Linked DNA regions of Mus musculus: region 1 is reported to be linked to region 2. Evidence: microRNA targets listed by miRTarBase, many of them from high-throughput screens and not tested one by one. Region 2 holds a microRNA gene; the other region holds the end of a gene's coding sequence.

What was found. Region 2 holds the annotated microRNA mmu-miR-208a-3p (AUAAGACGAGCAAAAAGCUUGU, at 1,518-1,539, opposite strand). A microRNA usually pairs through its seed, bases 2 to 8, with sites in the 3' UTR of a target mRNA and lowers its output. Matches are read on the target gene's strand: a 7mer-m8 pairs with bases 2 to 8, a 7mer-A1 pairs with bases 2 to 7 and ends in A, and an 8mer does both.
Region 1: the mRNA of Pknox1 is a reported target of mmu-miR-208a-3p. Seed matches in the 3' UTR shown: 7mer-A1 at 1,519-1,525.

The regions. Positions count from the first base shown.
Region 1 is chr17:31,604,359-31,608,358 of GRCm38, reverse strand. Pknox1 (Pbx/knotted 1 homeobox) reads right to left here. Exons shown (of 11, transcript NM_016670.3): 11 at 666-3,606. The coding sequence ends at 3,395. Among named protein-coding and RNA genes, the nearest start is that of Cbs, 31 kb to the left of the region's middle.
Region 2 is chr14:54,947,555-54,951,704 of GRCm38, forward strand. It overlaps Mir208a (microRNA 208a), which reads right to left and starts at 1,588; the gene lies at 1,506-1,588. It overlaps Myh6 (myosin, heavy polypeptide 6, cardiac muscle, alpha), which reads right to left. Exons shown (of 39, transcript NM_001164171.1): 26 at 2,710-3,099; 27 at 2,498-2,624; 28 at 2,291-2,409; 29 at 1,784-1,980; 30 at 1,058-1,241; 31 at 738-903; 32 at 527-651. It overlaps Gm52092 (a long non-coding RNA gene), which reads left to right and starts at 3,486. Exons shown (of 3, transcript XR_003950992.1): 1 at 3,486-3,960; 2 at 4,043-4,150.

The DNA.
Region 1 (4,000 bases), not on the chromosome of region 2:
GGTCTTATCTATCCACCTTGGACAGCAGAGTTCAAGGACACATATCTCCACCTTCTGAAAGTCAAATGCTTCCAGCCATTGGCCACCCAAAGTCAATTTCAGATGTTCTTTTGAGACATGGTCTGTCCTGTCTCAGACTTAGGAAGCAGTCGACTTTGAGCTTGGACTTCTGCTTTTCTGACCCTCTACTCCCAATTGCCCGGATTATGGGGTGCTGGCCACTGAACCCAGGGTTCTGTGCATGCCAGGCAAGCGCTATACCAACTGAGAGCATCACCCCTGGCCCTTAGATACACTTCTGAAGGAAAACAGCCTGTTGGTCCACGGTTCCAAGCACAAACTGGGGACCTGCAACACCTCCTGCACGTGTCCAGGGGCACCTTGCAAGGGGTTTTACAGTGTGGGACCAGCAAAGGTGACAGGTCTGGACCCATCAATCATTCTCTTGTTAGGCCAAAATAATCCAGTGTATGAAATGTTACGATGAAAAATCTGCTTTGCAGTTTTTTTTTTCCTTGAGAAAATGTCAACTAATTGAAGCCAAACAGCTAGGGTAGCCTCAACTCCCCACCCTGGTGTCACTGCAAGGTGTGTGGCAATCTTGAGGATCTTGCCTAGGAGTGACAAAGTCCACTTTGGTGGCACAAGCTTTACAGAATCAATCGTCCACAAGGCATGTTTCTGGTTTTAATTTTTTTTTTCTTTGATAAATCAATTGCTTCACAAAAATCCTTTTAAAGACAACAATCCAAGAAAACATATTGTTACAGTATTCACATTTTAAAGATTGTCAGTTTCAAAGACCGAACTTAACTGAAGAAGGCAGCCTGCTGTGTTCCAGTCACAACCTGCGGGAGGGGCCTCTGGGATGGGCATTTCCCTGCCAGCCATGGGGGAGGAGCAAGTCTCCCGCTGCCCCCACAGGTGCACTGGCCACCCAGCAGGCTACACAGTGGCCCGTCAGCCCTAGCCGCAAGGGTCACAGTGCATATTGCATATACACTTCTATTTGACAATCTGGAATCAAGAAAGCAGAAAACCTGAGCCCACCGGAGGAGTGGGTCAGCCAGTCTAGATTTCTGCTAGACAGCCAAACAGCAGGAATGACACGAGTTGACTGTAGGTCTCAGAACACATTCAAAAGGCTCCAATGTTTGGGAGTCTGACCATTTAAACAAAGCTCAAAGGTTTTCTGCACTGGCCAAGGAAAGGCGAGCAGGAGTTTTGCTCGATTTTTTTTTTTTTTTTTTGAAACTGGGTTTCACTACACACCAGAGGCCAACTCGACCTTGCAGCAATCCTCCTGCTTCAGCCTCCTAAGTGCTTGTTTACAGGAATATGCCATTGTGCCCAGCAAGCAGGTGTCTCAAAGGTGCAACTGGCAGACACCAAATCTGCTGGGCAGGGACTCTATGAACCAGCATGGCTCGCCTCATGGGGAGCACTTAAAAGCATCTCTGTGCACGGGGAGGTGAAAGGATATGACCCTGTGCCAGCTCTTTTACTAGCTTTTTTTTTTTAAGACAGGGTCAAGTAGCCCAGGCTTGCCTCCTGTCTCAGGTTCCTGAGTGTTGGGATTACAGGAGTGTGTCACCGTGCCTGGGGTTCTCTTACGATCTTCATGATATTCCTTTGATTTAGCAGGCTAGAGTTCTGTGCTTAGGAAAGATGATTTCAACTGGAAAGGACACGGTAGAGCATGGTGTTCGAATCCCAGCTAGAGCGCCACCAGCTGGTGCAGCAGGGGCTGTGCTTCCATTTTGGGGACTGGCAGAGCTCTGCAGGGCTCACAAGAGAGATGTACTTCTGCTCTAAACCTAATAGAGCCAGCTGATCGTGCAGGCTTTTGTATGCCGGACTTAAACTGTTAAAACAGTTTGTAAATAGGTAAGGGAAAGACTGCTTGAAATAGTATTCTCTCCTCAAAGGAGTTGCTGGCAAGTTCTGGGGGTTTTATTTTGCTGTCTTGGACGCACCTTAAGTGGTTCAAACGGAGCCCCCATTCTTTTTGCTGACTACTTGGCTGTTCAGGTGTGCTCAATGGCTGAAGAGAATCAAGACATTTGGGGTGATGGTGAACTATTCCTGAATTAGCTAAAGAGGTAACCGTGGGGTAACCGTGGGGCCCAAGGCAGGGACCCCTAGACAGCTGTTCCCTATCTGCAGGTGGCCTAGGTACCACTGTGAAGACAGATGCCTGTTTCCTAAGAAAAAGCTTCCCAAGTAGACCCAAACAAACCAAACCAAATCTCAGCCTTGACACTCAGAAATGAGGTCCTCAAACTGTCCTGAGTCTGTAGTGGTAACAGAGAGGGGGAGGAGCCTGGAGAGTGAGTGACAGTGAGAGCCACCAGTGGGCCCCACCGCCACGTTACAGCCATGGTTCTAACTTCTAGGTGTCTGCCAGTAAGAAAGACAGTTTAGGTGTTTGCTGTTTACACCAGCTCTGAGCCAGTGGGGCAGAACACACTTTATATTAGTTTATAATAAACATTCTCTATATAACAGGTTTTAACTAAAAAAAAAAAATCTAAAATTACCACCCAGTTAACATAGCCAGGCAGCCATGGAACTGCAGTCAGACTAGGCGTGGCAGAGCCCTCACTTACCGTACGTCCTACTGAGTACACTGTGTAAGATGCTCTAGCGAGTGTAAAATGTAGCAGTCTGCATCACACATGAGCAGAAACTGGAGATGTCAAAAGCTCACTTGACAGTTGTTTCCTTTTAGCAGCTGAGGCGAGCCCTCTCCTCCCCAGAGAGCAGGAGACCATGAGCAGGTGGCCGCCTTTCAGAACATTCCGAATCGAAAGACAAGCATGTGCTGTTGCTTCTCTAGAAATTTATCCTCAATATAGTCATAATCCAATTAATAACTGATTTATAAAAATAGCTTTTTATCCAATAATCCCAGCAAGGTAAAAATAGGAGTTTCTTTTTCTATATAGCAAATGAAACAGGCAAATGCTGCCTGAGAGAACTGAAGTGTGTGGTGGGCACCCACAGCCCACCGGGGCCAGAGCCCTCTCGCTCTGCAGCCTGCGTGCAGGTCATCTTTCAGACCTGTGAGCGGCACCAGCAGCCGCCCCCAGACCTGCTGTAAACCACACGACTCAATTGCAACTGCAGAATTTTAGAAAATGGCAGCACTGTTCCTTAATCTCGTCAAGGACTCAAGGGGCAGGGGCCACGTTTCTAGCATTAAAAACCCATACACGCACATCTGAAGGAAGTCGCTGCACCGGCAAAGACGTCTTGAAGCTTGCTGCGAAATACAAAAGTGCACCTTCTATATCTACATATAAAACAGGTTACAAAGACAACTGTAAGATGCTTGCTGTGCAAACAGTGAAGAGTCCAGCGCCCAGCTCCACACTGACCCCGTTGGTGCTTCCTACTGAAGGGAGTCGCTGTTCTCCAGCACCAGCCCGCTGATGTGTGTGGGCGCCAGGGCGCCGCCCTCATCCTCTGTGCTATCCACCGACTCGTCCTCACTCTGCCCTGCCATCATGACCTGCTGTACGGCCAGGGTGGCCCCGTCTGAGGACAGGGACTGAAGGCTGTCCACATTCATGTTTACAGGTGTGGTGATGGTCACAACGGCACCTGCAGCAGAGCACACCAGGGTCACCGCCTTCAGTAGTCCTTAGAGCAAAGCACAGCCAGGTGCTGCCTGCTTGTACAGTCTACACCCGTGTGTCAGTCAGGAAAGGAGGGCACAAACCTCCCACACTTCTAGAAAGGCGCCAGGACAGGATTGGTATCACGTGAAGGAAGGTGGTGGCAGGAAGGGTGCCAGAGACAACTCAGCATGGAACAGACAGGAGAGAGCACCAAAGCCAATGACTGTGTGTGTGTGTGTGTGTGTGTGTGTGTGTGTGTGCATGTGTTTGTGTGTGCTGGGGCCAGAATGGACTCACTGGGAGAGCAGCAGTGAGGCCAGTGGTTCCACATTCAGCATCTCAAAAACATAAAGAAATTCAAAACTGTCCCCAAAGCT
Region 2 (4,150 bases):
ACAAAAAATCACAGTAAAGGTTGAAGTGTCTATAGCCCTAATCCCGGGCTGTCCCAAGTTCTTAGAAATGCGCAGCAAGCATGGCTAGTAAGTGCTTGACTGTGTTATTTTACTCAGTCTTCATAATTATCATATACATAATCCTATGAGGTTTATACATTAATTCCATCTTATAGATGAGGGCAGCAAGGCACACAGAGGGTCTCAAGACAGGGTTCAAACCTAGGTCATTTGACCCTGGAGCCTGTGTTCCTACCCAGTGGTTTGAGCTGATATTATGATAGCCCGATTCCAGCCAGGAAGCAAGCAAGCCTTCTGTCCTACAAACCAGACTGTGGCATTGTACAATGTGAGGAACTCAACTTTGGGGGAAGTCATTGTTCCTGGGTATCTAAGAATACCCATGGTGACTGTCTACTAAGAATGGGAGCCAATAGATTTGTGTCCTGGGGTCAGGGTGACTTCTGTGAGGCGGTAAGACAGGATACAGCAGGACAGGCTGGAGAGTGCCTAGTTAGGCCCTTACCTCAGCCTCCTCCAGGGCTGACTGCAGCTCCAGCTTCTCCACCTCCAGCTGTTTGCGGATCTTCTCCAGCTCGTGCACGTTTTTCCCCCCTTCTCCCAGCTGTTCAGTCAGGTCTGAGATCTCCTCTGAGGATCAGAGGACCAGAAAGATCAATATGCCTTGCCCCACTTCCCTTTCCCTGAGGCTCTTCCCTGTCCCCCAGCTCGCCCACCCTGGAGGTTCTTGTTCTCCCGCTTGAAGGTCTCCAGGTGCTCCAGAGACTCCTCATAGGCGTTCTTGAGCTTGAAGAGCTCTGTGCTCAGGGAGCGCGCCTCCTTCTGGGAAGACTCCAGCTCTGACTGCGACTCCTCATACTTCTGCTTCCACTCAGCCAGGATCTGCAGGGAAGGAGCGCCCTGTGACCAGAACTGCCCAGGCCCCTCTCCTGACTCAGCCCTCCTCCCCCACCTCCAAGGAACATGCTGTGGCCTTGAGCTGGCACTGACCCCACCAGCAGCATGCACAGTGTCTGCAGCCCCACCGTGAGCCTACCTTGTCAAAGTTCCTCTGCTTCTTGTCCAGGGCTGCGGCGGCGGCATTGGAGCGCTCCACGTCCACCATCAGGTCCTCGATCTCATTCTGCAGCCTGTGCTTGGTCTTCTCCAGGGAGGAACACTTGGCGTTGACGGCCTCCACTGCCTCCTCTGCATCCTGCAGCCTCTGAGCCAGCTTCTTCCTGTCCAGGGGAATGTATGTGACTGTACTTGGAGCCACAAGGACGTGAGATGATCTCCTCCTTCCGAGTGTTGATGGGAAAGACCCAGCTTCTCCCCACAGTTCCCTAAGATGTTGGAACCCCAGCCTAGAGGATGTGAGGGCTACTGGAGCCTAGAACAGAGACGTCCATCACAGGCTGCTCAGACTCTCCCACACATACATCACATCTGTGTGACTGTGCACCCCCACCCGCTTCCCTCAGGCCCAGGCTGCATGATGATAGCTCCTCTGACCAACAAGCTTTTTGCTCGTCTTATACGTGAGTGTCAGGTATAACCCGGGCCAAAAGCTCACCCGTCAAAGGAAGTAAGCAAGGGCCAGCCAGGCGTTACAGGTTGCAGGACTCAGGCTTTCTACCAAACACTCCCATGGCTCACCAGGTCTCCCCATCCTCTGTTCTCCCACCCCAAAGCTCTTTCCTGCATCTACTCTGCCTGTCTCCACAGCAGACGCTCTGCTCCATTCTCTTGGCAAATCCAGGGGCAGCCACAGTGGACTCACTTGGCTTCCTCCAGCTCCTCCGTCCTCTGTATGGCATCCGTCTCATACTTGGTCCTCCACTGGGCCACCTCTGAGTTGGCCTTGGACAGGACACGCTGTAGCTCAGCCTTGGCCTCCATTTCTTCTTCATACTGTTCCCTCAGCAGGTCACAGTCATGCCGGGATGATTGCAGTGCGTGGGCCAGGGCGTTCTTGGCCTGGGAAGAGGTGGGCATCAAGGAGATTGGAGCAAACCCAACCCTCCAGTCTCTAGATTCTTATGCGTATTTACTTCAGTCAAGACCCAGATTCACCCACATGAAGTGGAGTCTCAATGTCTTTGAGTGATTTCCATTTGCCTACCTCTCTCCTTTACCAATAAGGAGTCATTAAATGATCAGGAGGGCTGACCATTTAGTAGGGAGATAGGTTACCAGGTTACCTCTGGCATCCAGGTGCACTCTTGGAGGTAACAGTGTGTCCAGTGATGCCACGGAGTCTGTCCCACTGCCATTATATGGGCCTCACCTTGCCTTCCTCCTCCAGTTGCCTCTTGAGGTCCTCCATCTGCTGGGTGTAGGAGAGCTTGCCTCGGGTCAGCTGGGAAATCAATGCCTCCTTTTCTTCCAGTTGCCTAGCCAACTCCCCTGCAGGTGGAATGAAGGGTTCTTGGGCCATGGAAGGGGGAAACCAAAGCTACCAGGGGCAGGCTAGGGGACGGTAAGGGGCACCCACCGTTCTCTGTCTGCAGCTTGGCTCGCTGTGTGGTGAAGTCATTGAGGGAGCGCTGGGCTTCTTCCAGCTTCACGCGGTACTCATTGGCCTGGTCCTCCAGTGTCCGGGACACTTTCTCCAGGTTGGCCTGCAGGCATTAATGAGCAGAGGAAAGGTGAATGTGGAAAGGGCCACGACTGGCAGGGAGGAGGGGAGCTGCTGAGAGGGCCCACCTTGGCCTTGATGATCTGCTCCATGTTGGAGGTGACGTCATCCAGCTCCAGCTTGAACTCGCTCTTCTCTTTCTCCAGCTTCTGCTTCACCCGCTGGAGGTTGTCGATCTGCTCGCCCAGCTCCGCCACGCTGTCAGCATGCTTCTTGCGCAGGGCCGCCGCCGTGGCCTCGTGCTGCAGCGTGGCCTCCTCCAGGTCCCGCCGCATCTTCTGGAACTCGGCCTCGCGCTTCTTATTCATCTCTATCTGCACGGATGTGGCCCCGCCTGCCTCCTCCAGCCTCTCACTGATCTCCTCCAGCTCCCGGGACAGGTCAGAGCGCAGCTTCTCCACCTTAGCCCGGGCTGTGCGCTCTGCCTCCAGCTCCTCCTCCAGCTCCTCGATGCGTGCCTAGCCAGGGATACAAAGGATCAGACCTGCTTCCTGGACCCCTCCCTTGAGGCCCGTGCTCCAGGGCTCTAAAAGGCTCCCATGCGCACTAAACCTCTAGCACGGGTTTTCAGCTACTAGGTATAGCTGGTGATGGCTGGAGACATTTTAAACTGTGTGGAGGATGCTATAGAAGCAAGGGACATTGCTAAACACCCTAGAATAGAAAATTGGCCGAAGCCAAAGTTTGGAGGATTTCCCTAAAGCATCTGAGATTCAGTTTGAGCATCTGCAGCCTAAGTGTTGAGCATCTGTGTTTGGAGCGGGATCCTGAGATCTCCTGAGATTATGAACCTCAGACAGCCAACAGTTTCACCTGACTCTGATCCACTGACTATAAGGCAAGGAAATGAGCACTCGGTTTTTTTTGTTTGTTTTTTTGTTTTTTTGGTTTTTTTTTTGTTTTTTGTTTTTTTAAACTAACATTTGTAGCAAAGCTGCCTCAAGAACAACCAAATCCTACTGCAATTATCTGAGCTAACCATGAGGTCTAATCACCTAGATTCCCCATGTCATGGATTCCTTAGGTATCCTAGGTCCAGGATGTAGCTTGATTGCTCCTTTCCAAGCCAAGCTATGTATCAATAAGATGCCCTCTTCTTCATACCCCTACCTCATTGGTGTGGCCTTAGACTTGGTCCTGACTAAATCTGGAGTATGCACATTTGCCATTTTAGCCTTTTGTCTCTATAGGGAAAGTTTGTGGAATTCTCTCTCTCTCTCTCTTTTTTTTTTGGTGCAATGGACAATTTTAATGAACTACAGAGTAGACCCTGAGGTAGGAGAGAGGGGACTTACACCTCTGCTCTCAACGTGGAGAAGGTAGGACTTGAAGCACAGATCCTACACAGAAGAGGGAGGGGCCTATAGACGCAGTGAGAATAATGACATTATTATCTCCTAGAGGCCAAAGAACTTGCCCAGACTTATGGCAGAAGATGCAGGGGATGGCTCAGTATTCTGGGTAAAATAAAGAAGATGGAGCCAAGATGGGAACAAACCACACATGAGT